Linked DNA regions of Astyanax mexicanus. The protein of the gene in region 2 interacts with the protein of the main gene of each other region in a pairwise test. Links are inferred from orthologs where the notes say so. Each region holds a gene or a part of one and is shown on either strand. Other genes may lie near its edges. The genes, in order: kctd9a, ehhadh and actb1.

What was found.
Region 1: the proteins of ehhadh (region 2) and kctd9a interact in binary tests that used the Homo sapiens proteins (3 or more experiments, as listed by UniProt). The two-hybrid records come from large-scale screens. The link is inferred for Astyanax mexicanus from reciprocal best matches to the Homo sapiens genes EHHADH and KCTD9.
Region 3: the proteins of ehhadh (region 2) and actb1 interact in binary tests that used the Homo sapiens proteins (3 or more experiments, as listed by UniProt). The two-hybrid records come from large-scale screens. The link is inferred for Astyanax mexicanus from reciprocal best matches to the Homo sapiens genes EHHADH and ACTG1.

The regions. Positions count from the first base shown.
Region 1 is NC_064419.1:25,584,704-25,592,858, reverse strand, and holds the start of kctd9a (BTB/POZ domain-containing protein KCTD9a), read right to left. Parts: upstream 5,158-8,155; 5' UTR 5,035-5,157; coding exon 4,987-5,034; intron 2,822-4,986; coding exon 2,700-2,821; intron 2,606-2,699; coding exon 2,562-2,605; intron 2,444-2,561; coding exon 2,347-2,443; intron 1,680-2,346; coding exon 1,621-1,679; intron 1,520-1,620; coding exon 1,391-1,519; intron 426-1,390; coding exon 358-425; intron 263-357; coding exon 167-262; intron 63-166; coding exon 1-62. UniProt on the Homo sapiens protein: Substrate-specific adapter of a BCR (BTB-CUL3-RBX1) E3 ubiquitin-protein ligase complex, which mediates the ubiquitination of target proteins, leading to their degradation by the proteasome.
Region 2 is NC_064418.1:46,455,333-46,463,487, forward strand, and holds the start of ehhadh (peroxisomal bifunctional enzyme), read right to left. Parts: upstream 4,383-8,155; 5' UTR 4,188-4,382; coding exon 4,114-4,187; intron 2,701-4,113; coding exon 2,597-2,700; intron 1,605-2,596; coding exon 1,435-1,604; intron 1-1,434. Other genes in the region: tmem41aa (transmembrane protein 41A-A), read left to right, coding at 5,552-5,670, 6,228-6,378, 7,142-7,303, 8,057-8,155. UniProt on the Homo sapiens protein: Peroxisomal trifunctional enzyme possessing 2-enoyl-CoA hydratase, 3-hydroxyacyl-CoA dehydrogenase, and delta 3, delta 2-enoyl-CoA isomerase activities. Catalyzes two of the four reactions of the long chain fatty acids peroxisomal beta-oxidation pathway.
Region 3 is NC_064428.1:16,852,547-16,860,701, reverse strand, and holds actb1 (actin, cytoplasmic 1), read right to left. Parts: upstream 4,981-8,155; 5' UTR 4,839-4,980; intron 3,221-4,838; 5' UTR 3,219-3,220; coding exon 3,096-3,218; intron 2,979-3,095; coding exon 2,739-2,978; intron 2,358-2,738; coding exon 1,919-2,357; intron 1,821-1,918; coding exon 1,639-1,820; intron 1,546-1,638; coding exon 1,402-1,545; 3' UTR 873-1,401; downstream 1-872. UniProt on the Homo sapiens protein: Actins are highly conserved proteins that are involved in various types of cell motility and are ubiquitously expressed in all eukaryotic cells.

The DNA.
Region 1 (8,155 bases), on a different chromosome or scaffold from region 2:
ATCTTGAAATTGATATAGCGCAGATCCAGTCTAGAAAGGTCCGCCCCACTGAAATTCAGACCCTGACAATTACAGAAAGAGAACAGAGATCACCAAAACATTCTGTTCAGACATCACACACTGTTACAAACACGTTACAAAAATGTTCATGTGTGAATGAATGTACCTGACAACGCAGTTCTGACTTGGTAGGCGTGGCCAGTAAAAACCGTACAAACTCTTTTCGGGAGATGGGAGAGTGATCCTCAGGAGGATGAGAGTTCTGCAAAAAATGGAACAACTCAAATTAGACACAATAAACAGGTAAAAAAAAAAAAAAAAAAAAGATTTACAGTCATAAAATGAACAATTCTTTACCTTAATTGCAACTTCCAGCTGTTCAGCAAGTTGCTCAATTCCAAAGAACCGAGCTTCTTCCAGTACGCCTGAAGATTAAGAATAAGATGAAACAAAAACACAAGCACTATTACAAAAATGAAAATCTCTACACTTTCCCCATGTTGGCTGATAGCCAATCTGTCTGAGAGAATGAGTGCAAGACATACTGCTAATTATGTTTGTAATCCGTCATTAGTGATGAAAACTACATCTACAGTTACATTTTTTAACAATGTTTCTTTGAAACCCGGAAAATGTAGACACATAATGCCAGAAATGGCAATGTTACATATGGCCCAATGGGTAAACCTCCATGTAACCTTTAAATCTATCACTTAGTCACATGTGAATATTAGAAAAAAATATATTGGAAATAATTATCTATTTATTTAGTAAAACAATAATATCAGACTAAACATAAATCAAATTCATACAAAACTGTGTTCATTAAAACATTTCCAAAGCACTCCTTATATGAGTCTAGTATTATTTCTTGTTCATAGAAATACCAGCTTTGGTAAATGAGTACCTTGTAATATTCAATCATTGTGGTGAGCTGGTAATGAAATGTAGGCACCTTAGGATTTAGAGGGCTCTGACGCCATTATAAAGTGATTTACTTAACGAAGTTATTAAGCAGTGGATGTAAATCTACACAAATCTGATCCAGCCTCGATGCTGAAGAGCTAGACTAAAACTCCTGTATTACGCTGCACTTCAGTAGAGTGGCTTTACTGCTTCTTACAACCTGACTGCTAAAATTCATAAATATGGCGCACTGGATTATGAGACGCACTGACGTTGAGACGGATTCTTTAGGAAAATTTAAGGATTTTAGGTGCGTCTTATAGTGCGAAAAATATGGTAATACAAAAATCTCAGATTAATGTTGTTAGGGTAACAATTAGGCAAGCCTGAGCCACAATATTAAAACCAGCTACAAGGAAAGCAGCTCAGAGGATGCATTGCTTATATTAGTCATTCTCAAATGAGATATGATGCACACACTAACCCAGCAAGTTGATTCCTTCATTGACAATAAGTTGACCATGTCGCAGGTAGTTTAGAATAGGCTCAAAGTACTCAGGACTGCGGTCAATGAGGTAGGCACCTCGCTCATCTTGCTTGTTGCCCCACACATCTGGAATACAGCAGAGAGAGAAATTTTAATATTTCATGAATAATTTAATACTGTCTGCAATGGACGAATATATCTGAATCGTTGTGTTATAAAATGCTCACCCTTTTCTCTAAACATATGAGCCAGCATGCTGTCCGGCTCCTTACTCACAAGAGTGCTCCTAAAGGGAGAAAAATAATAATGGATTTTATTAGCAATGCAGTTTTCATACATGTATATTATACATTTATATGTTTTGTTTTTTTTAACTGGAGAAACCAAAAACCTCATTGGATATCTTGAACATAAATGGTTGATTCAACCATTTATTTGATGAAAAACTGTGTATTTCACTTGGTCCAGATTTCAATCTACTATTGCAGATTTTATTTAGGTTACATACTGACGGTTCATAATAAATAAACTATTAATAAATAATAATAAAAATACAGTGATATACAGTGAAACCGCCAGAATCTTGCAAAATACCATGATATGCATTTTTGGTCATACCACCAAGCACTAATGGAGTCTCATCATTCTAGAGAGCACAGTTCTTCTACTGCTCCACAGCTCAATGCTAGTAGACTTTATACTAATCTAGGCCATGACTGACATTATGCAATGGTCAGGTATCAATAGGTTCTACTCCAGAGTTCTATTCTATTGGTAATGCTTCTCTACAGGACTCAAAGTTAAAGGAGTGTCCACAAACATTTGTAAATTAGTACTTATGGCTAGTCCAGCTAAAACAAAAATAATTGAAGCTTGTAACCGTTTTTTAACTATTCAAACACGGTTATAAACCCTTAAAACATCACCCAGCATCTTAAAAGAACTCTACTTGCCGTGTGGTCGTGAAGAGACGCCCACCAATATTTAAAGTCAACCAATCAGTGTGGCAGCTTGAAGAGTCCTCTGCAGCCTTTTCCTCAGTCTGAGGATCTGAAACACACCCAAACACAAACAAGTGTATACGTGCTCTGAGGACACTTTCATTGTTTCCCATGTGAGGTTTCAGGTATATGAGGAAATGACAAACTTAATCATGACACCAACTTACCGACAAAGGAGTCTCCCTCAGACACATATAACACATCATCATCTCTGCAAAACAGAGAGTCACACATGATTAATCTTTGTTGATTAAGGACAAACAATAAGTACCAGTACCAGGAACCTCCATCGGAACATAACTTACCTAATGAGGGCTATATCATCAATGAGGCCTCCCTTGCCATTGTACAGATTACTAGCCCTGATTCCCAGTTTATTGCTGGCAACGGATAAGAGATCCGACAGAGTGCCATATACTGCTACAACCTACAAGACAAAAAAAAGCAGAGGTCAGGATTACTGAAACAAACTAATGTTGGTTCAAACTGATGTGAACTGAAATTATCCAGCTCACTAAAGGTGTTTTTACACTTTAATGTCTGCACCAAGACTTGGGTCTTTGTTACATTGTGTACATTTGGTCCAGCTAGATTTGGTTTCACACTGCAGTTTAGTGAGCAAAGAATCATAGGAACATGCCAGAACTAAACCCACGTGTAAAGTAGCAATGCCAGAGAATCTCTAGAGAGGAGAATACCCACTTGAAGTGAGTCCAAGATGAACAGGTTCATATGAAGCAACTGAGCAAAATCAGAATTTATAAATATCTGAAAATCTCAACACAGTACGCTAGATTCTTTACTGCTTAAACCTGTTTGCTGTCGAACAATGGAAATATACAGGTACACTTTTTTTTGCTTATAACATTAAATAAAACTCAGAACAAGTAGTTATTACATATAATTTTAGTTTTTGACTTTTTTCCACCCCCATTGAGTTTCCTCTAGCGTTGAACAGTAACTTTCTGATATATTGGGGAAATATTGGGAAAGTGGTCAGACTCTGCATAAACAGCTCTGGCCATGCAGAAGGTTTGTTTTGGAGCCGTGGTTTTCTGTTTCTACATGATCCCTTTGGCTGTAGCAGTTTACACTACAAGACTACACAAACACCAAGTGGTCACCAACTTACCTCTGAGAAAGTTTTTTTTTTTTTTTTTGGTGGTGGTTTACAAAAAATAATCAGTTAACTTTAAAATATATTTTCACAATACAAGCCTTCATTAAATAAAATGAGGGGGAAGAATTTATATATACAATATAATAAGAATATAATTGATACGGTCACTATAAAGTAATGACATGTTTCATACTCATATTCATAATTTAAATAAATATCTTAAAGAAACGACAATGAAATATGTACAGGTGCTTCCATATCCAATGAAATATATTAACGGTTTTAATTAACATTTTCTCCTATTCAGGACAATATTATGCAGTCAGACCTTCTTTCAATCAGTGTTGTAAAGTTATAATATGACATTTCAGGGACATAATATCAATATATATGTGGGAAATTATAGATAGTAGTACTCATATTGCTATAAAAAACTAATGATAAATAAACTTTACACGTTACTGGTTGGTTAGTAGTTAGTTAGCTAGCTAGCTGGGTAATAAGTATACAGATCTGGAAAAAAAATAAAAGCACTTAAATAAATTTTGTTTCTTTGAAAACCTCTGGAACATAATCAAGAGAAAGATGAATGATGAATGCCATAAAAAAAAAAGCTGAACTGAATTTTTGCACAAGGAGTGACGTAAAGTTATCCAAAAGCAGTGTGCAAGACTGGTGGAGGAGAACATGCCAAGATGCATGAAAACTGTGATTAAAAACCAGGGTTATCCCACCAAATATTGATTTCTTGAACACTTAAAACTTTACGAATATAAAGCTGTTTTCTTTGCAGTATTTGAGGTCTGAAAGCTCTGCATCTTTTTTGTTGTCATTTCAGCCATTTCTCTTTTTCTGCGAATAAATCCTCTAAATGACAATATTTTTTATTTGGAATTTGGGAAAAATTTTGACTAAAATGTTGTCCGTAGTTTATAGAATAAAACAATAATGCTCATTTTACTCAAACATATACCTATAAATAGCAAAATCAGGTAAACTGATTCAGAAAATAAAGTGCTCTCTTAATTTTTTTTTTTCAGAGCTGTAGCTACCCAACTAGTTAGCTAAGCTATCTTAGATGGGCCTGACCATTAGATGCTATGTAACGTTATAGTCTTAAGCTTAGCTATGTTAAATTAATACACAATATAGCTATAATTACAAAATAAACACAAGTTTCACACCAACACGGGTCATGATTATCATTATTTACACAAATACCAGCTAAACACAACACTGTTAACATGATTTCCTCTATCTAAGACTAGCCATACATGCTAGCTAGCGCTAGCTAAGTTAGTTGAGCCAGCGGACTCAGAAAGTAAAAATCCGCTCCGGGATTTGAGCCGCAGCCGATCCGCCAAGACATTGAGAACAAAATCCCGGAGAGGATTTTTACTTTCTGAACTTGGATTTTGCACCTTTACACAAAAGTCATTCAACATCACTGTAACGAACTCTTCAATCCTCACCTTTCCATTTTTGGAGGAGCCGTTGACAAAAAGCGTGACTCTTCGCATTATTTGTTTAAGCTATAATTATGTACAATATTGAGTTTAATAAACAAAACTAGACCGATTTCTACAGCGAACTCATCCCACAGTTACTCAGTAACAGGCTAAACCAGATTCACACAGTGAAGCCAGAGCCCAGCTCACCCAGTCGCCGTCCAATCAGAGTGACGCTATTGTTACTAGCCTTGCGAACAGACCAATCACAGGACAGAGCTACACGTGTCGGCTCGCGAGACCAGCCAATCAGACACAATTGTGGTGTAGCTTCACTCATGAGGAATTTGCAAAGGGAAATAATTACCTCAGCGTGGCGTTTCTGGAGCTGTGGGAAGGTTTGCTAAAATAGCTTAAATTCACTGTAGGAAGCAGAACAGTAATAACAGTACAGCAGGGACACCATAGCTAGTCTGTCTAAACATACATATACTAGTAGAGAATATAGCTAGTATAGACTTAAAAATAGTAGTTATAGTCACTCACATCCACACTAAACCCTCCCCTCTCCCTCCGCTCTTCTGTGTGCTGCTGCAGCAGTTAACTACATACTCCACCTTTAGGTAAACCTGCAGGGAAGAATATTAGTTGTCAAATTGTATAAAACTTTGAAACTGACGCATGTATAGTTAGGTTTTTTTGTTTGTTATAGTTTTTATAGCCTTATATATTTTCTATTCTTCTGTGTTTTGATTTGGCTGAGTATGTTTCTTATTGTATTGTGTTGTTGCTGCTGGATGCCTAAATTTCCTTCGGGATAAATAAAGTATCTATCTATGTAAATACATAATTCCTGGTATTTGCATATTCAGGAGTATTTTATTCTAATGAGTAACACAGCTTGAAGTTTCAGAGAGAATTAGCACAGAACCACAGTATCTTAAAACCATTGTTATTTTGGTAATATCGTATCATGATGCACCCTGTGATTCCCACCCCTACCTTCAACCCTGATCTGCATTGTAAAGCGAAAGCAATGCTTGGAGCCTTTACCAAGCAGGGTTGAATGAAACTGTACAACCCCCCCCCCCCCCCTTTACACAAAACTAAACTGTACACCCCCCCCCCCCCCTCCCTTTACACTCACAAAGAACTGAACTTCACCCACACACACACCCAGTCAGCACACAGAGGCTGACATGACTTTATTTGCTGCACTCTTAAAAACTATAAACTCTACCTCAGTAACTGCTGTGATTATATATGTTCTATATGTTACAGTATGTCACACATCTCTGCACCTTATCCCCACTATACACTTTATTATACCGTATCGGTACTGCACTGTCCTGTCTTTAAATTGTCTCGTCTTTTGTATTTATTGTTATTTAGTGTTATAATTTTATAATTTTATGTTGCACTGTCGTCACTCCTGCATTTTATGTTGTCTATTGCTTGTTGTTCTATGTTGCACCATGGTTCCGGAGGAACGTAATTTCATCACACTGTGTACCTGTACTCAGATGTAATGACAATAAAAGCCTCTTGACTTGACTTGACATGAAACATAAAAGTTATATTTTGTTGGCATCTTAATTTAAAACAAACAGTTTCCCTATTGTTAAAAAAAACACTGACAGTTCTGTGTAGCCAGTGGCAGTCAGGCAAACTAGGTTTGGCACTTTTTTCTTGTGTTTATTATATGTACAAGAAAACATACAAGTTTTTATGTTTTTATGATTTTATTTAGCACTGCACTGAAAAGAGCCTCTTCTCCACTAGATGGCAGAAAAGGAAAACACTTTACTGCAGCCTCACAATTTAGATATTTTAGTAACATGGTGTTAAAGAAATGAGGACAACGGATCATCTTTGCTTATTTAACTAGTGTAATCTGGGCACATCCAGTAAGGCATTGGCTGCTATTTTAAACAGGCCATAAATCTTACTGAAGTTTACAGGTAGGTCCCAGTTTCCTGAGAGCTGTAAGTCTTATCTGTCAAAATTAGCCTACATGACATTGCAGCCATTTTAACAAACAAAGAAGACAAGTTCTAACTCATAAAGTTTTAAAGTGTTCAGAAATCAATATTTGGTGGAACAACCCTGTTTTTAATCACTATTTGGTGGAATAACCCTGTTTTTTAATCACAGTTTCCATGCATCTTGGCATGTTCTCCTCCACCAGTCTTACACACTGCTTTTGGATAAATTTATGCCACTCCTGGCAACTTCAAACAGTTTAGCTTGGTTTGATGGCTTGTGATCATCCATCTTCTTCTTAATTATATTCCAGAGCTTTTCAATTTGGTAAAATCAAAGAAACTCATCATTTTTAACCCTCCTGCTTTCCTCATATTTACTAACACTCTTAATTCTCTGGGTCAATACCCAGCCATTTAAAATTATGATTAAATTTGAATAAACATGTTACAAAAGTTTATTCACCCATTCTTTATGTTTAGCTGATGAATTACCAGATGTTCTAGCATTAATATAATGTTAGTATTATATAAGTATATATATAAATTAGTATTATATAAGTATTTTAAGTATTGTTTTGTTGAGTTTGGACCTTAAGTTAGACTACATTTAGAGGAAGATTATAAAACTGAATGTTACTGTGACCTTGACATTATTACCACACAAATATGTGTAAAATATTGATATTTCTTATGTTTTATGCAAATAAATAGCTTTAATAAAACATATATTGAAATAAAAAAAATTGAAACACTTTATTTTTTATGTATTGCCTTTGTCAAATTAAGAAAAGACGATAAATATTAATCACGAAACTAAAGTCAACCATTAAACATTGAACGGGGTCAGATTGAGCCCATAGGTAATAAGAGGGTTAAGTTTTAAGTGTTAAAAGCATTCAGACTCCTTTTAAGAAGTGAGTTCAGTCACCAATTACAGACACAGCCTTTTTGTTGTGCCTGTAAATCTTATTTAATTACCATAGAAAACTGTATATATTTCATAATGCAAGTACCTGCAGCATTAACATGTGGAGCAGTAGAAGTGACTTCTCTCCAGTGCAGGAGCTCCAACCTAAACGGCTTTAGAATAAGACTAGGTGCTATGTTTATCTGTAAATAGCCAGTCATCCATTATCAGCACCGGACCTCACTAATACTTTTATGGACCAATGCCATTAAATCCTCACAGCAATGTTCCAAAATCAAGT
Region 2 (8,155 bases):
CACACACAGACACAGACACAAACACAGACGTGCATGCGTGCACACACGTGCATACACAACTGAGACACACTTTATATAATAATAATAAGCCTTTATATCAAAGGTGCACATCTAACACACATTAATTAACTGGGCCACAGTTCACTCTGTACACTCACACTCATTTTACTATACACTCTTTCACTCCTCTATATACTCTACACACTCACTCTCTCCACTACCCACTCTACACACTCTCTTTCACTCCTCTATATACTCTACACACTCACTCTCTCCACCATACACTCTACACACTCTCTTTCACTCCTCTATACACTCTACACACTCACTCTCTCCACTACACACTCTACACACTCTCTTTCACTCCTCTATACACTCTACACACTCACTCTCTCCACTACACACTCTACACACTCTCTTTCACTCCTCTATATACTCTACACACTCACTCTCTCCACTACACACTCTCTTTCACTCCTCTATATACTCTACACACTCACTCTCTCCACTACACACTCTACACACTCTCTTTCACTCCTCTATATACTCTACACACTCACTCTCTCCACCATACACTCTACACACTCTCTTTCACTCCTCTATATACTCTACACACTCACTCTCTCCACCATACACTCTACACACTCTCTTTCACTCCTCTATACACTCTACACACTCACTCTCTCCACCATACACTCTACACACTCACTCTCTTTCACTCCTCTATACACTTACTCCACTCTACACTCTCACCACACTCTACACACTCTCTTACTCTACTATACACTCTAAACACTCACTCCTCTATACACTCTACACACTCACTCCTCTATACACTCTACACACTCACTCCTCTATACACTCTACACACTCACTCTCTCCACTACCCACTCTAAACACTCTCTTTCACGCCTCTGTACACTCACTTACTCTTTATACACTCTACACACTCTCTCCCACTCCTTTATACACTCTATATACTCTCTCTCACTCTTCTCTACACTCCACTATACACTCTCTTGCTCTAACTATTATACACTCTTACTCCACTACACACTCTCTATCACTCCTCTTTATACTTCCTTTTTACACTCTACATTCTCACACACAACACACTCTTTCACTACACTCTCCCTCACTCCATTTTACACACACTCTCACTCCTCTCTGCACACTCTCACACCTCTCTCCACACTCTCACTCCTCTCTACACTCAACAAACTCAAATATATTTTTGTTTATGTTTACATTCACACCAGTTACTACAGTAGGTGAAAGGTGGGCTGGGATGGGGTTTATAATAAAAGGATGGGTAAAATGATAAAGGTCAGGTTAATATATCGTACAATAAATCAATAATGTGATAATTGTGACAGGCCTAATGTCTCCATCCATATATACATATTTCATCATCATCAGGTATCAGTAGTTTACCTTGGCGTGAGCCACACGGTAATGGCAGCCCAGTGCCAGCTCCAGCCCCCCTCCGAGCGCTATGCCCTCTATAGCCGCCACCACCGGCTTCTCCCCCGCCTCTATAGCGTGGATCATGGGCACCAGCGCCGGTCCAGACATGGGCTTAGCAAACTCCTTAATATCTGCTCCTGTTTAACAGCACACACACAGCACCACGTCTCAGTACATTAACCTAATATGTGAAAACTATATGAATATTGTTTTTCAAATATACAAGTACAGTATATGTGTTATATACGTTTATTATGCATACTATTATATAGGTACTATAAATATTATTTGTGTACTACATTGTGTATAGTATACTTTAAGACAAATATGCGTAGTATATGAAGTTATGTACTATATGAACTATTTTTTGTTTTTTGGGGTACTACAGGAGTTTTTTAGGAGTACTATAAATATTGTTATACATACTATTTGAGTAAGTATATACTTTAAGTATTATGTATACTAAATAAGTATTACACTGCTTTTTAGGAGTATTATGTGTACTATGGTAGTATCATGTGTAATATATGAATATACATGAACTATAGGTGTATTGTATGCATTTATAGGTTTATGTTTAAGTAAAATGAACATTGTTGTCTTATTCTATAAACTACAGACAACATTTCTCCCAAATTCCAAATAAAAATAGTGTCATTTAGAGCATTTATTTGCAGAAAATGAGAAATGTCTGCAATAAGATACAAGAGGCAGAACTTTCAAACCTCAAATAATGCAAAGAAAACATGTTTATATTCATAAAGTTTTAAGAGTTAAGAAATCATCATTTAAATATAAAATAACCCTGGTTTTTAATCACGGTTTTCATGCATCTTGACATGTTCTCCACCAGTCTTACACACTGCTTTTGGATAACTTTATGCTGCTTTACTCCTGGTGCAAATATTCAAGCAGTTCAGCTTGGTTTGATGTGTACTATATCAGTATTATATATTAACTCTGCAAGTACATATACTGTATGAACTATATGTGTGCTACATAAGTACTATGTAATGTACTCTTAATAAGTATTGTCTGTACCACATGTGTACTATGTGAGTACTCTATGTGTACCATTTGTGAGTTCTTTGTGTGTGCTGGTATTATGGGTGTGTTTGAGTGTGTTTACCTCCACAGAATTGTCCATTTTCCCCACACAGCACCACAGCCTTCACCTGTGTGTCGTTGAGCGCTCTGGAAACAGTCTCAGTGATGCCCTTCCTCACTGCAGAGCTAAAACCATGAGATACAGAGAGAAAAACATTCACATATTAACATTTTACACCTCTCTAATCAGCTCAAATATATGAGAACATGGATTTTATACACTGTGTGCATGGAGTCACAGTTACTGAAGCACTGGTCACTGCATGACTGTCTAAAACACTGTTCACTGTTATTGATGTGTAGTGATTATTAAATATTATTGAGGTCGTGTCCATTAATTGTACGATAATTCTATAATGTAATTTTCACCACTCTCTTGTTAGATTCCACTGTTCTGATTGGATAAAAAGTAAACTTTTCTTTAAATCAGATTTTATAAATACTGTATGATATTGTGTTTATTACACTGTAAAATATATTTTTAAGAACTTTATTTAAACAATACATTTAAGCAATATATTATCGCTGTTTATAGTATCGCAATATGATTTAAAACATATCGTATGGCCACTTTGAGGTAGTGCTGGGCGATATGGGAAAAATCATATATCACGATATTGAATTGTTTATATCACGATAACGATATATATCATGATATACCACATTTAAGTATGTTTTCAGTTATTCTTCGAAAAATATGACAAAATAACATCATTGCTTCCTTTTTTCCAACTTTATTTCAACGTGACAATAAATCAAACTTTCACAAATGAGAATTACTACCTTTTAGTGCAGCAATATATATGTATCAAATGAAAACAGATGAGGTAGATGCAGTAGCTGTTTTCTTTTATTATACAGGTATTTAAATTGAGCTATCAAAATAAACTCAATTACCATTTTTAAAGTGTCTGTCAAATAACGTAAAGCAGCGTCATGTTGCAAAACCACATTATGAAGCTTTTTTGCAAAGATTATTCAATTATCACTTATATAAACCGAGTTTATGCAACGTGACCAAGCCAATACATTTCATCGTAGCCTACTTTATATATTTGCATGAATAATTGATTAAATTACTGTAGAAACGATAGGGCTGATAGAAGGTAAGTAGCATGATAGACACTTTTCTATCATTCCCACGATATTTATCGACATATCGCACAGCATTACTTTGAGGGTTATTATAACTGGTCCACCTGACCAAGCAGATTAACCACCATGGCTACCAGCATTACCAAAATCAAATGCTAACTTATATACTATTTTCATCAAGTATATGGCGTGTTTTCACCTGAAAGACGAGCTTAGACCATCTTAAAAATCTACAAATTGTGGTCAGTTGCAGGAGAGCACACAACTGTGCAGGTACAGACTGTCTGCAAAGTACTGATTACTTTTATTCTTAAATCAGCATGTGCACTATTATTTATATCAATGTAGTACATCTTCTATTATTACAGTAAATGCAAAACTTGCAATCTTACAGGTGAACAGAGTCCCAGACTAGAGTTAAGTCTGCATGACTGCAGGACTCACCTGAGGGCGTTCACAGGTGGGTTAGTGAGAGTGATCAATGCGATCGATCCCTTAGTTCTTGCATATTGAGCCATAGCTGATCAATACAGCTCAGACAGTGGAGCTAGTTCAGCTGAATGGAGCTGGAATAAAGATCTGGAGCTTCTGCAGGACTTCTGCAGGACTTTGATCCTGAGGTCACTGATATTCAGGGCTGTTTTTAATCCAGGAAAGTGGAACAAAAGTCACAGTCATGCTGGAACTGCTGGTTGGAGTTTAACAGCAGGGCTGGAGGGGGCGGAGCCGCATGAAAGCCATAATAACACAGGTAAACCCGCAGAGTTAAGAATAGCTTCTTATTATCGGGCTGTTTCCACTGTAGGAAAATAATAAATGAGTCGCTAATACACATATTACGGTAAACAGACTGGCGCTGTCAAACCGAGGCTCTGTCCCAAATCGCTCCCTGCTCTCTACACCCTATACAAGTGACAATCACATTGGAACAAATTAAATAAATAAAAGTTAAGTAATTGCATTAAATTGCATAAAGAATGACATAATATACACCTATATAATTATAATAGTGCACAGATCAGAACCAATAAAAAATAAATAATTTAAAATAATCAAAATATAATAATAAAAAGGTAAACAAAAAAAAGCAAATACAAAAATAAAATATTAAATTTACAATTAATAAGACAATAAACAGGTGAAACAAGGACAGCACCGCAGAGAAAATGAAAAAAGTGTATATTTTTATAATAAATAAATTATTATTAAAAATGAATTAAAAAATCAAACAAATTAAATTAAAATAAAATTAAAATAATGTCAAATTAGGTGGATGGTGCATGATAGCTATGGAAAATGCACGTTTATATAATTATTATTTAACAATAAAATACCAATATACCACCATCATTTAAAGAGAATATTTAGTGTATATATTTGTTAAGTTAAATACATGATTTGGAACAAGTGCTTAACCTGATTTTTTTGTGTGTGTTTAACTTAGAAGTAATGTTTGATATAGGTTTATGTATGTATTTGTTTTATATTGTTGTATTATTTCTTGGCATTTTAAGCTTTTGTTAACATTAATTCCACAACTGGTTTTCTTTTTTATTATTATTTAAACACTTATTTTAATTAGTGAAATTATTTTTTCTAATTAGAAATCAAATATATAATGGAATAAAGTATAAAGTTAATAGGATTATTAGTACTAAAGCATTCGTTTAGTTAATACTCGTATTTGTGTTGTTGCAGCTTTGGTTTTTAATACACGTCTATATGTATTTCATAACAATAAGGCAGGAAGTGAACGTGATCAAATTGGGACGCGGCCGCCACAGCAGAATACTGGAATCTGGTTGGCTCCTGAGAACCACGTGACCCTCCCACGGTCCCTCCGCTGTTGTGGTCTCTCCGCTGCTGCTGCTGTGGTTCCGACATGCGGTCTGTGCTGGGTTTGGGTCTGGTTCTGCTGCTGTCCTCCGTTTACCTGTACCTGCTGTCCGCTCACCTGCCCTCAGCTCACCTGGGTGATGGGGAACCAGAAGCGGGAACCGGGTAGGAACGGTAGCCTTAACATGCTGCCACAATGATTGGAATTGTCCGTTCCACCTTAAATGGTGCAGCGTATACACAGTGTAACTGCTGGATCAGCTGCAGCTGTTACAGTGTAAGTGCTACACTATTTAAGGTGGAAAGGACAATTCCAGTCATTGGGGTACCATATATGAAGCTAAATATTTTCTGCTGTAATAAATGAAAAATATGAATCATATTGTTTATATAATATTATGAATTAGTTGAATTCTAACTTTTTTTTCAACTCATAACATGTCTTGTCAAAAAACAATACTCATGCTAAATCTGGAGGTCATTATAAACGTCCTCAACCACCACCTCAAAAAAAAAAACTTTATTTTCCGAATATGGCTTCATTAGGATTATGAATTTGATTTATGACTAGGCATGTGTATATTAGTACATTAGGGCATAATTCAGAATATTATACTGTTGACATTTCAATACAGGCCATATTGACTACAGATCTCCTATAATAATCCATATAATAACTATCGGTGTGTGTGTGCGTGCATGCCTGTGTGTGTGTGTTCCAGGCTGAAGTTCCCGTCTGATCTAGAGGAGCTTCGGGAGCAGGCGGCTCTGCTGAGGCACTATCAGCAGGAACACAGTGGATATGTTCTGCTGCTGTTCTGCAGCGCCTACATCTACAAACAGGCCTTCGCCATCCCCGGATCCTCCCTGCTGGTACTGCCCTACTACACTAAGAACCACACACACACTCCCACACTCTCCCTCGATTAAAGCGATAGTTCAGTTTACCCACCCCTCTTCCCAACATCCTGCAGAGCTTCCAACTGGCATTTTCCAGCAGGATAATGCTGACCCACACACATCAAATGTATCTTAGCAATGGGAATGCTAAATTCAGCAACCTACAAGAGTAAAGCAGGATCTACAGGTCCAGCTGCAACATCTGTGGGTAAATCTGTGTGCTGCAGGATGCCATACAGGACCTGCATACCTCCATTCTCAACTGTATCTTATCTTGTACCCAGGCTAGAGACACTAACAGGATACTCAACAAGTCCTTATTTCACTTACATACATCATTATTACATTCACACATATAAGCTTCATTCTACTCTAATTTTGTCAATGAGTAAAATTATAAACTATAAAATTGTCCTATAAAAAGTCCTTAGATATTAAGGTACCACTTTAAAAGTACTAATTAGTAACCATTAATAAACTAATTGTAAACCATTTATAAAGCCTTTATAAAGGCAGTCTTTTTTTTAAAAGTGGTACCGATATTAATCAGTAATAACAGTCATCATGTGCAGCCTTAATAGTAGTTCTGTCAGTAGAGCCTGTATTTCACTGTAAGGACTAGCTGAGGAATCTGACCCAAATTCTTACTGGGTAAGCTTCTATTCTTCTTAAGTATTCATAACCCCCCTAACTCTCTGCTCTGAGGTTTTTTAATGTGTGTTTTTGTGTTGTTCAGAATATCCTGGCGGGGGCGCTGTTTGGACCCTGGCTGGGTCTGCTGCTGGCCTGTGTTCTGACCACTGTAGGGGCCACACTCTGCTTCCTGCTCTCACAGGCGTTCGGAAAACAGCACATCGTCCGGCTCTTCCCTGTCAAAGTTACTCTGCTGCAGAGAAAAGTGGGTATTTTTTTCCATTTTATTAAAAACCTAAAAAAAAAAAAAAAAAATCTAATATTATAATATAACTGCTATTTACACTATGACTCAAATTCCATACTATCCAGAAAAAATCTAAACCCAGACTTTAACTCAATATGGTTTAATAAAAAACAACCTAAATCCATGTTCTCGAAATCAACCCAAAGGAGTTTTTACACAGAATAAAATTGTGTTTTTTTACTTAGTGAAACTTCACACCAAATCTGATTCATCTTTTGTCTTCTCAGTTTTGTTAGCAGGACAGGAAATGCCATATATTTTCTTTATTTCCGTTCTGCTGCAGTGTTGAAGTTCATGTCTTGGGTCTGCAACCATGACAGTGGAGCTCTGAGTGGTCATCCTTCTTTTTGTTTTTTTTACGGATCGAACAGTGCAAATAATCGAATACGCTTAGATTCCAGTATTCACACAGCATTGTGAAAAATCTGATTTTTTTAACCTACTGAAATGTAGTCTTTAATTCATTAAATGTACTTTTAAATGTTAATAATGGAGATATCTGTGCATCTAGAAGCTGTTTCTGCCAGAAACCTGAAAATAACTATTTTTATTTGCAGTGAATTTCATATTTTGAATTTTTCTGATTACCTAACTGAAATATATGGAGGTTATTGTTGCACCTTGTTAAATATAAAAGCTATTTGTAATGTTTAAATTGCTGTTTTTTACTGAAAGATTTTTTTTTTAATTGACATTTGTATGTGTGTTTAGGTGGAGGAGAACCGCAGCAGTCTGTTCTTCTTCCTCCTCTTCCTGAGGTTCTTCCCCATGAGTCCAAACTGGTTCCTCAACATGAGCTCCCCCATCGCC
Region 3 (8,155 bases), on a different chromosome or scaffold from region 2:
CAGTTTGAAACATCACTCCTGCATAAACTAATCACACTGGACATTCCAAATTGGCTCATTAGCACCACTAGTGTTCCACCTATAGCATCCACCTATAAGGCAAAGGTCAGATGAGTGACAGGAGAGGGGCACTTCAGAGGGCCAATTTGATCACCTTCTGCCCCCACCTGTAGTTAATCATAATATTGTGTTTAAATACTGATATATTGTGCTATACTATCCCGCTCAGTGAGTGATTAAATTCAGCAAGGGCAGTGGCTTTTATACTATACATAGCAATACCGTTTTAGCATTAACTGAAACAAAATTATTGATGTAAATTTTGGCCACATCCACGTTAGTTTCCCTTTAGGGACTTAAGCTTCAACCTCTGATAATGGTTAATTTTGAATAATTAGGAACTTGCCACAAAAAAGGCAAGTAAACCAGGACTTAAAAGTAAATTTTCTGATAAAAAGAGCTACGTACTTCTACTTCAACATGCACTGCTTTTTTCAGGCCAAGCTGTTTATGTTTAAAACTTAAGCATTACAAATCAATTGATTCATTTAAGGGATATCAGGGGGATAAGAACCCTTTCATGTGAGATGGTATACTAGCTTGTTGGGAACAAGTGTTCATGATAAACATTTCATATTGGGCAAATATGTAGAGCACAGAATGTGTGATAATAGTGGAAATGGAATTTGAACACAGCTGTAAATAGTAAATGATAGCTAAAATTTAACAAGCCAGAGTAGAGATTTGTTTCTGCTGTAATTATATAATACAGAAGCCAGCTATGACCACAGCTTCAATACCATTAGTTTAATTAACCATGCAGCAAGATAAACATTGTGATTGAGGGGGAAAAAAATAAAGAAAGCACTCTGTTGTTGAGTTTTACATGTGCACATTTTATTGGGTTCAACATGTCAGTGTAGAGACTCCTAGGCTCACATGCCACAGGTGGTCCCCTTACCCACAAACCCCAGGGAAGTTCTCCTGCAAGATCTTCACTCAAATGGGTAAAGCTTTTCCCTTCCATTGCATAACAAACAGAACTGGAACGAGTTTAAGGCTGAAGTACAAAAACAAAACCAGACATTGTAATAGAGTACTTAATTTACATAAGCAACACTAACAAGGTCATGTGTTCCCACTGTGACATGGGGCAAAGTGGTGGATGCTGTATTAAAACATGACACTATTTGGAATGACAAAGAAGAAATGTACATTGAGTCCTCTTGGGGAAAGCTCCTCCCCCGTAAGACACCACCCCCCTTTCCAGTTTGCTCATACCGAGGCAGCACGCCATACGGAGCAGAAGCCATGCCCATGTTGTCTTGTCTGAGAGGGGAAGGTTGGTCGTTCTTTTAGGATCAGCCAGCCACATGGCTGGCTGAGGTGGTTTAGTCCCATTTAGAAGCACTTCCTGTGGACAATGGAAGGGCCAGACTCATCATACTCCTGCTTGCTGATCCACATCTGCTGGAAGGTGGACAGGGAGGCCAAGATGGAGCCACCGATCCATACAGAGTATTTACGCTCAGGAGGAGCAATGATCTACAGAAGAGGGGGGAGAAAGAAAATTAGACATGCACTGAAAGATTGATAACCTGTACCAGGTGGTTTCTCAACACTAATGCAATTAATTACCTTAATCTTCATAGTTGAGGGTGCAAGGGAGGTGATCTCCTTCTGCATACGGTCAGCAATGCCAGGGTACATGGTGGTACCACCAGACAGCACTGTGTTGGCATACAGGTCCTTACGGATGTCAACGTCACACTTCATGATTGAGTTGAAGGTGGTCTCGTGGATACCGCAGGATTCCATTCCTATCATGCAGAGAAACAAGTTTCCATTAAAACCCTTTTCTAATTTAAGTGTTTAAGGATTTTTTTTTTTTAATTTAACTGAGAACCATAAGACTTACCCAAGAAGGAAGGCTGGAAGAGGGCCTCAGGGCAGCGGAAACGCTCATTGCCAATGGTGATGACCTGACCATCAGGCAGCTCGTAGCTCTTCTCCAGAGAGGAAGATGAAGCAGCAGTGCCCATCTCCTGCTCGAAGTCCAGAGCCACATAGCACAATTTCTCCTTGATGTCACGGACAATTTCCCTCTCAGCTGTTGTGGTGAAGCTGTAACCACGCTCTGTCAGGATCTTCATCAGGTAGTCGGTCAGATCACGCCCAGCCAGATCCAGACGGAGAATGGCATGGGGGAGAGCATAACCTTCGTAGATGGGTACGGTGTGGGTAACACCATCACCGGAATCCATCACGATACCTGTGGTACGACCAGAAGCGTACAGTGACAGCACAGCCTGGATGGCGACGTACATGGCGGGTGTGTTGAAGGTCTCGAACATGATCTGTAATTTACAAAAACAGAAAAATTTAACTTACTGATCTGGCATCATAACGAGATTTTTAACCCTTCAAACTATGTATGCTGAGTTAAAAGGATTAGGAAGTAAATGTTTTAATGCAAAGGCTTAAGTGTCATTAGTACATAAAATCATGCAACAGATGTCCAGAAAAGAAATTAAGATAAAGACACTGCAATTCATGCAGTAAATCTCAAGCAGAGGGGGAAATAAAATTAACCTGTGACTTCTACATATGAAGGAAAATATGATCAGGTCAAAGAATGGAAAGCCTGAGAAGGAAGATACAGAAATGAAAATATGAACAGAAGAGAAACAGAAAGCCTACTATTTACCAATGATAGATCTAGCAAAAGGCATGCATACCTGTGTCATCTTTTCCCTGTTGGCTTTAGGGTTCAGGGGAGCCTCTGTGAGAAGGACTGGGTGCTCCTCTGGGGCAACACGCAGCTCATTGTAGAAGGTGTGGTGCCAGATCTTCTCCATGTCATCCCAGTTTGTGACAATACCGTGTTCAATGGGGTACTTCAGGGTGAGGATACCTCTCTTGCTCTGAGCCTCATCTCCCACATAGGAATCCTTCTGACCCATGCCTACCATGACACCCTAAGAGAGAAAAAAAAAAAAAAACACTTCTTAAAATTTGAAAAATTTAGCTTAAAAAAACCTTTGTAAACACCACATTGAAATTGGTCAAAATAAGATTGTTAAGGCACAACATACCTGATGCCTGGGTCGGCCAACAATGGAAGGGAAGACGGCACGAGGAGCATCATCTCCAGCGAAACCAGCTTTGCACATACCAGAGCCATTGTCAACAACCAGAGCAGCGATTTCCTCATCCATGGCTGTGTAAAAAAGGAGAAAAGGGGATTAAGAAACACACCTCCAGCAACTTAAACATGCTTAGATCACTGAAAGCTCAAACACTCTGAAGTAATGCTTATGGTTGGCCAGTAGGTGGCGCAAAGGCGCCATCCCTAAACCTAGTGATTTGAGACAAAGGAAGTGGCAGGGCAGACTCACTATTGCCTTATAAGGCAATAAGTTCGGCCTGCTCACCATTGCCGATTCAGCTTACAGAACGAGACCAGCACATCCAGGACCACTCCCCATTTCAACAACCTGATTGTTACACAATCCCAAACGTGAAATATGCCTCCTTCTCTAGTTAAAGCTAAAGCTTTTACTGCAATCAAGCATAACCTCAGTTTAGTTTAATCTTTAAGTATCAGATTAAACGTACATTAGGTTCCAAGACTACATAGTTTTATTTTATAGATTTATAAAACAAGAAAAAAGGGAAGATGCCTGGTCTGCACAATTTAATTCAGTTAAGTCAAATTAGAACTCAGCGTCCAATTAACACTTAAAAACCCTGGCCAGCTTTAAAAACTACACTGCCAAGTCCAAAAAAAAAAAAAAAAAAAAAAAAAAAAAAAAAAAGCTTTATCTTAACCCTCTATGGCATGGCAGCGATTTTCCTCAGGCAACAAACCACGTGATTTTACACCGTCCCTCAGTTTAATATGTAAAAAATATTTAAAGGCCTATTTTAAAGTCTTTTTTGGCTGTTGTTTCCTAACAGGAGAACATTATTCTCTCAAAACACAAGGCAATCATGCAGAATCAGTTGCTCCCAGAGGGTTTGATTAATAATAAAAAAAAAAATAAAAAAAAAAAAAGAAAAAAAAAGAGACCCACTAAAGTTACTAAAAAAAAAAGGAAGGGGCTGTTTTTTTTTCTCAACATATATAAATCATGTTTGAGGGTTAAGTTCCTTCATTCAAAGAAAAGGCTAGGAGATGCCGGCTTCCCCTCTGAAGGAGGTGGCCACACCCACCATTGAAACAGAACGGTGCTACACTAGAAGAACCAAGGCATGAAGTGACCCAGCTATCCTAGCCAACACTTCTGCTAAAGGACGAAAAGTTAAGCTAGCTAAACCTGTAATTATACATGATTTATTAAAGGACTTAGAAAATAGAAAGCAGTTATCTAGCTTAGCATTAGCTAATTAGGCTGACCAAAGTTGGCTTAATGCACTGAAGCTGCAGACTAACCCGAGGGGCTAACCTTAGCTAGCTAGCTTATACAAGCTAACGGTCAGCCACCTCGACACATCAGACAAAAGGGTTCGAGTTAACGCGAGGTAGTTAATTTACAAGCTTATAACGCTAATCTGTAACTTAATCCTTTAGATAGTCAGTTAACCAGCTAACTATACATAAAACGTTAGCTAGTCAAACAGCTTAATTTAAAATAACAGAACAAATTCATGAACAAGGCGTTACTCAAAGCTGGAGTTAGGTCAGCTAAGCCAGCTAGGCGTTCACATTCAAAGAAAGGTGATTCTCTAACATAATTTTACCACCTAAAAATGTACATAGTCGTCTAAATAAAATATACAAATAAGCTGTAGCAAGTTGTTACAACGTATTAGCCGGCAAACAAAAAGCTGCTTACCTGTGTTTTATCGGTTTGCAGGGAACCAAAAGGGGGAGAAACTGCTCCTGTCCGGGTGCACTGAAAACTCGGAGTAGCCTGTATAATGAGGGCTGAAGTTTTTATACCCGGCGCGGTGGCCGGCTCCTTCCATATATGGTAACGTTTCGGCTTCGAGCGATCTGATTGGCCAGCCGTCACCCAGTTGGCGTGTTTCAAGCTTATTGCTTGAAATTCAAGTTGTGAGATGCAGAAGTGCAGTGAGGAGAGGCATTATTAAATACACTGTGAAAAATAGCACGATTTGTGACAGAAGTAGGCGGTATATTTATGTTTATATGTATTAATAATAAATATATGATTTAGGTGACATGTTTTAGGCCAACTTTACACTAGAATACTTTAAAAAAGACATATGTTAAAGACCATGCCTTTTAACCTTAGCAAAGGCTGAAAAAATTTGCAGTCTCACTATTTAGCCATCTATCTATTTATATGACTGCAACTACAGAGCTGTGAGTGAAATGGACCATATATTACATTAAATCACTGAAATCAACATTACTATACATTTTTACTATATTACATGTTTAGAGAGCAACGTTTATGTTTATAATTGTTAGTTGGCCAACATTTTTATACTGTTAATGTTGCCAGCCTCAGGCCTAGGGGAACCTGGGGTATACATTATGCCATCCATATGTTTAATGTTAGTTATCTAATCTAGATATCACTTTTTTTTATTTTGTAATAGTAGCCACATAGCTGTCCAGTACCCACAGGAAATAAAAGTTAGTTAGTTAATATTCTTTATCATTGTAGACCCACAGTTACAAGAAGTTCACACATGTGTTTACTGTTTGTTTATCTTTAGCTAAAAGGTTCACTAATCTGAAAGTCCCATCAAAACATGCAGCTCGTCCAGCTAACCAGCTCATGCAGTGAAGCTCTTTTGGGTTATTTTGAGCTAAGCAGTGCTTTTCAGCCTTTCAGGCTCTATACAGTGCAACAAAGGCATTCACACAGGCCTGCCTGCAGCATTGTCTCTGATATGGGTCAGTTTGGGATTTGAAATACGTGGGCGTGGCTGCTTGCACTCATTTGCAAGAGGATAAGACCTGCTGTCTAATGCACAGTCCATACACACACACACACACACAAACACACAATTAATGCACTGCTGGTATCTTAATAATGTTTAGAAAAAATACATTATTATGCATTGGAGTGATGGCCAAGCAAGCATCAGCAATTATAAAGATCACAGAAGATTAGACCTTTCTATTAGCTATTATTTGAAAATTCTCAGTCCTTAGCCTTTTATAGTTAGTGGACATATTGTTACTGTTTTACTGGTGGGTGTGTCCACCTCCATAGCAAAGCCTGCCTTTTCTCCACATGGCTTTTTTGGGATGAATTTAAAATGCATTCATCTTATTGATATATTGCTTTAATTTAAAATGAGTACCAGGTCCTAAGAAATATAAAGTTCTATAAACCTTCTAAAGACATACGTGACCTAATAATGGTTTGCATTGCACTGCATTCAAACAAACACTAAGTAATGGAAACATTTAAACATTCCAAACATTATTAAAATTGATACTCAATCAAGCTAATATTACACTGTCATATACTATTTATTTGTAAATGGCATAATATATAATTTTCAAACCAAAGATATGTTCATTACGTGGGAGTCTGTCCCAGATGCCTTTAAGCTCAGCAATTTTTTTAAGTAAGTGGTTTATGTGAATGTAGTAACTCTGTATTGTAGTGCTTGACAAAGGTTTTCCAAAGTAACCCCTTGCTCATGTGGTTCTATCAGAAAAAAATGTAGAAAGACGATTATTTAACATTACCATTTTTACATTTTCTGTGCGCAAGAAAAAAGCACACATTTGAGCAGACTACTGTCGAATCAGCCACAGTAATACTTACCATATGAGTTTGTCCACAAGAGACGAAAAGGATTTTCAAGAGATGCTAGTCCAGACAATCCATGCCCTTAGGCTGGTCACATGATTCCAGCAGCCAATCAGCACTGCTTTTCAGTTGGCTGGGCCTCAGTGTGTGACCCCTGCTTTGCTATAGTGGATGTTTTTTTAGTGAGGTTCCTAACTGACCCATTATACACCAGTGATATAAAAGAGTTCAATAAAGCGTTCATATTAAATTACACTTTAAAAAATTAACAAAGCTTAACATGCTTTAATGGAGTAATTAGATGTCTTAAACTATTTGTCTTTGTGTAATACCACACAAGGCTTGGTGGTCGTGCTATGTGTGGAATGTCTGAATGCAGCCTGTTAAAAATTCAGCTTCTCAATCCTGATAAATGACATAGATAAGTGGCCATGCCCAAACATGACCAAAGCTCTGGACAGTCACTGGCTGGAAGCACTTTGTGAAGGAGACAATTTGTGGCAATCTTCCTTAATGCATTTTTAAGTGCGTTATCCTCTGAATGTATTATTTAAGAATTTCTGTTTTCTTTAGTTTTCTTTCCCTAGCAACTTTAAAATGAATAACCCATCATTAATTTATGCAACATGTTCTTTATTTATGTAGCACCAACATCATCCTTTTCAAACAGAGGGGGTTCTATATAGAATCAAATGTATTCTTTATTTTTATAATATTTATAACAGCAGTGGAAGTCCTTTTCTTGCTATATTTAGAACCACGCTAGTTTAAACAGTTATATAACAGGTTTCCCTTGTCTATAAGAAAACCCTTTTACCAGGCAAAAAACCCTTTAAATCATTCAGATTGTTCTTTTTCTTTATAAAACCACTGCCTTCAATAGAAAGCACGCAAAGAACCTTAAGGGTGGCATATGTAAGATAACAAAAAATAAGACTAAGTTAAGAAATAAAGCAGAAAAGTAATACAAAAAAGAAATATAACTAGAAAAGTGCATTTCAAAAGGAAGCATGGAATAGCTGTGCAGATAAAGTGGGATTACATGCAGGTATTTTTAAAGACGGTTGCTAAATGGTTGCTATGGTATTTCAAGCGGTTGCTATGGTCCTGCTAAATTGTTGCTATATGGTTGCTATTGTCCAAAATTTGAATGACTTTGTGTTATAAGTGTATTGCTTGTTGCTACATAGAAACTGCATATGTCATCAAAAAAGCTGTAAACAAGTTCAGGTCACACCATCAGGACGAATAATCTGGAGTTGGAACGGTGTCAATAAATGAAAACCACAGGATGAGAGTCACATGAAAATCTGGCAAAAAAAGAAAATAAGAATGAAAAACAGATTACTGTATACTTAAAAAGGAAATAAAGTTTTTATTTTGAATTCATCAATCCTTTATTTTTTTTTTTA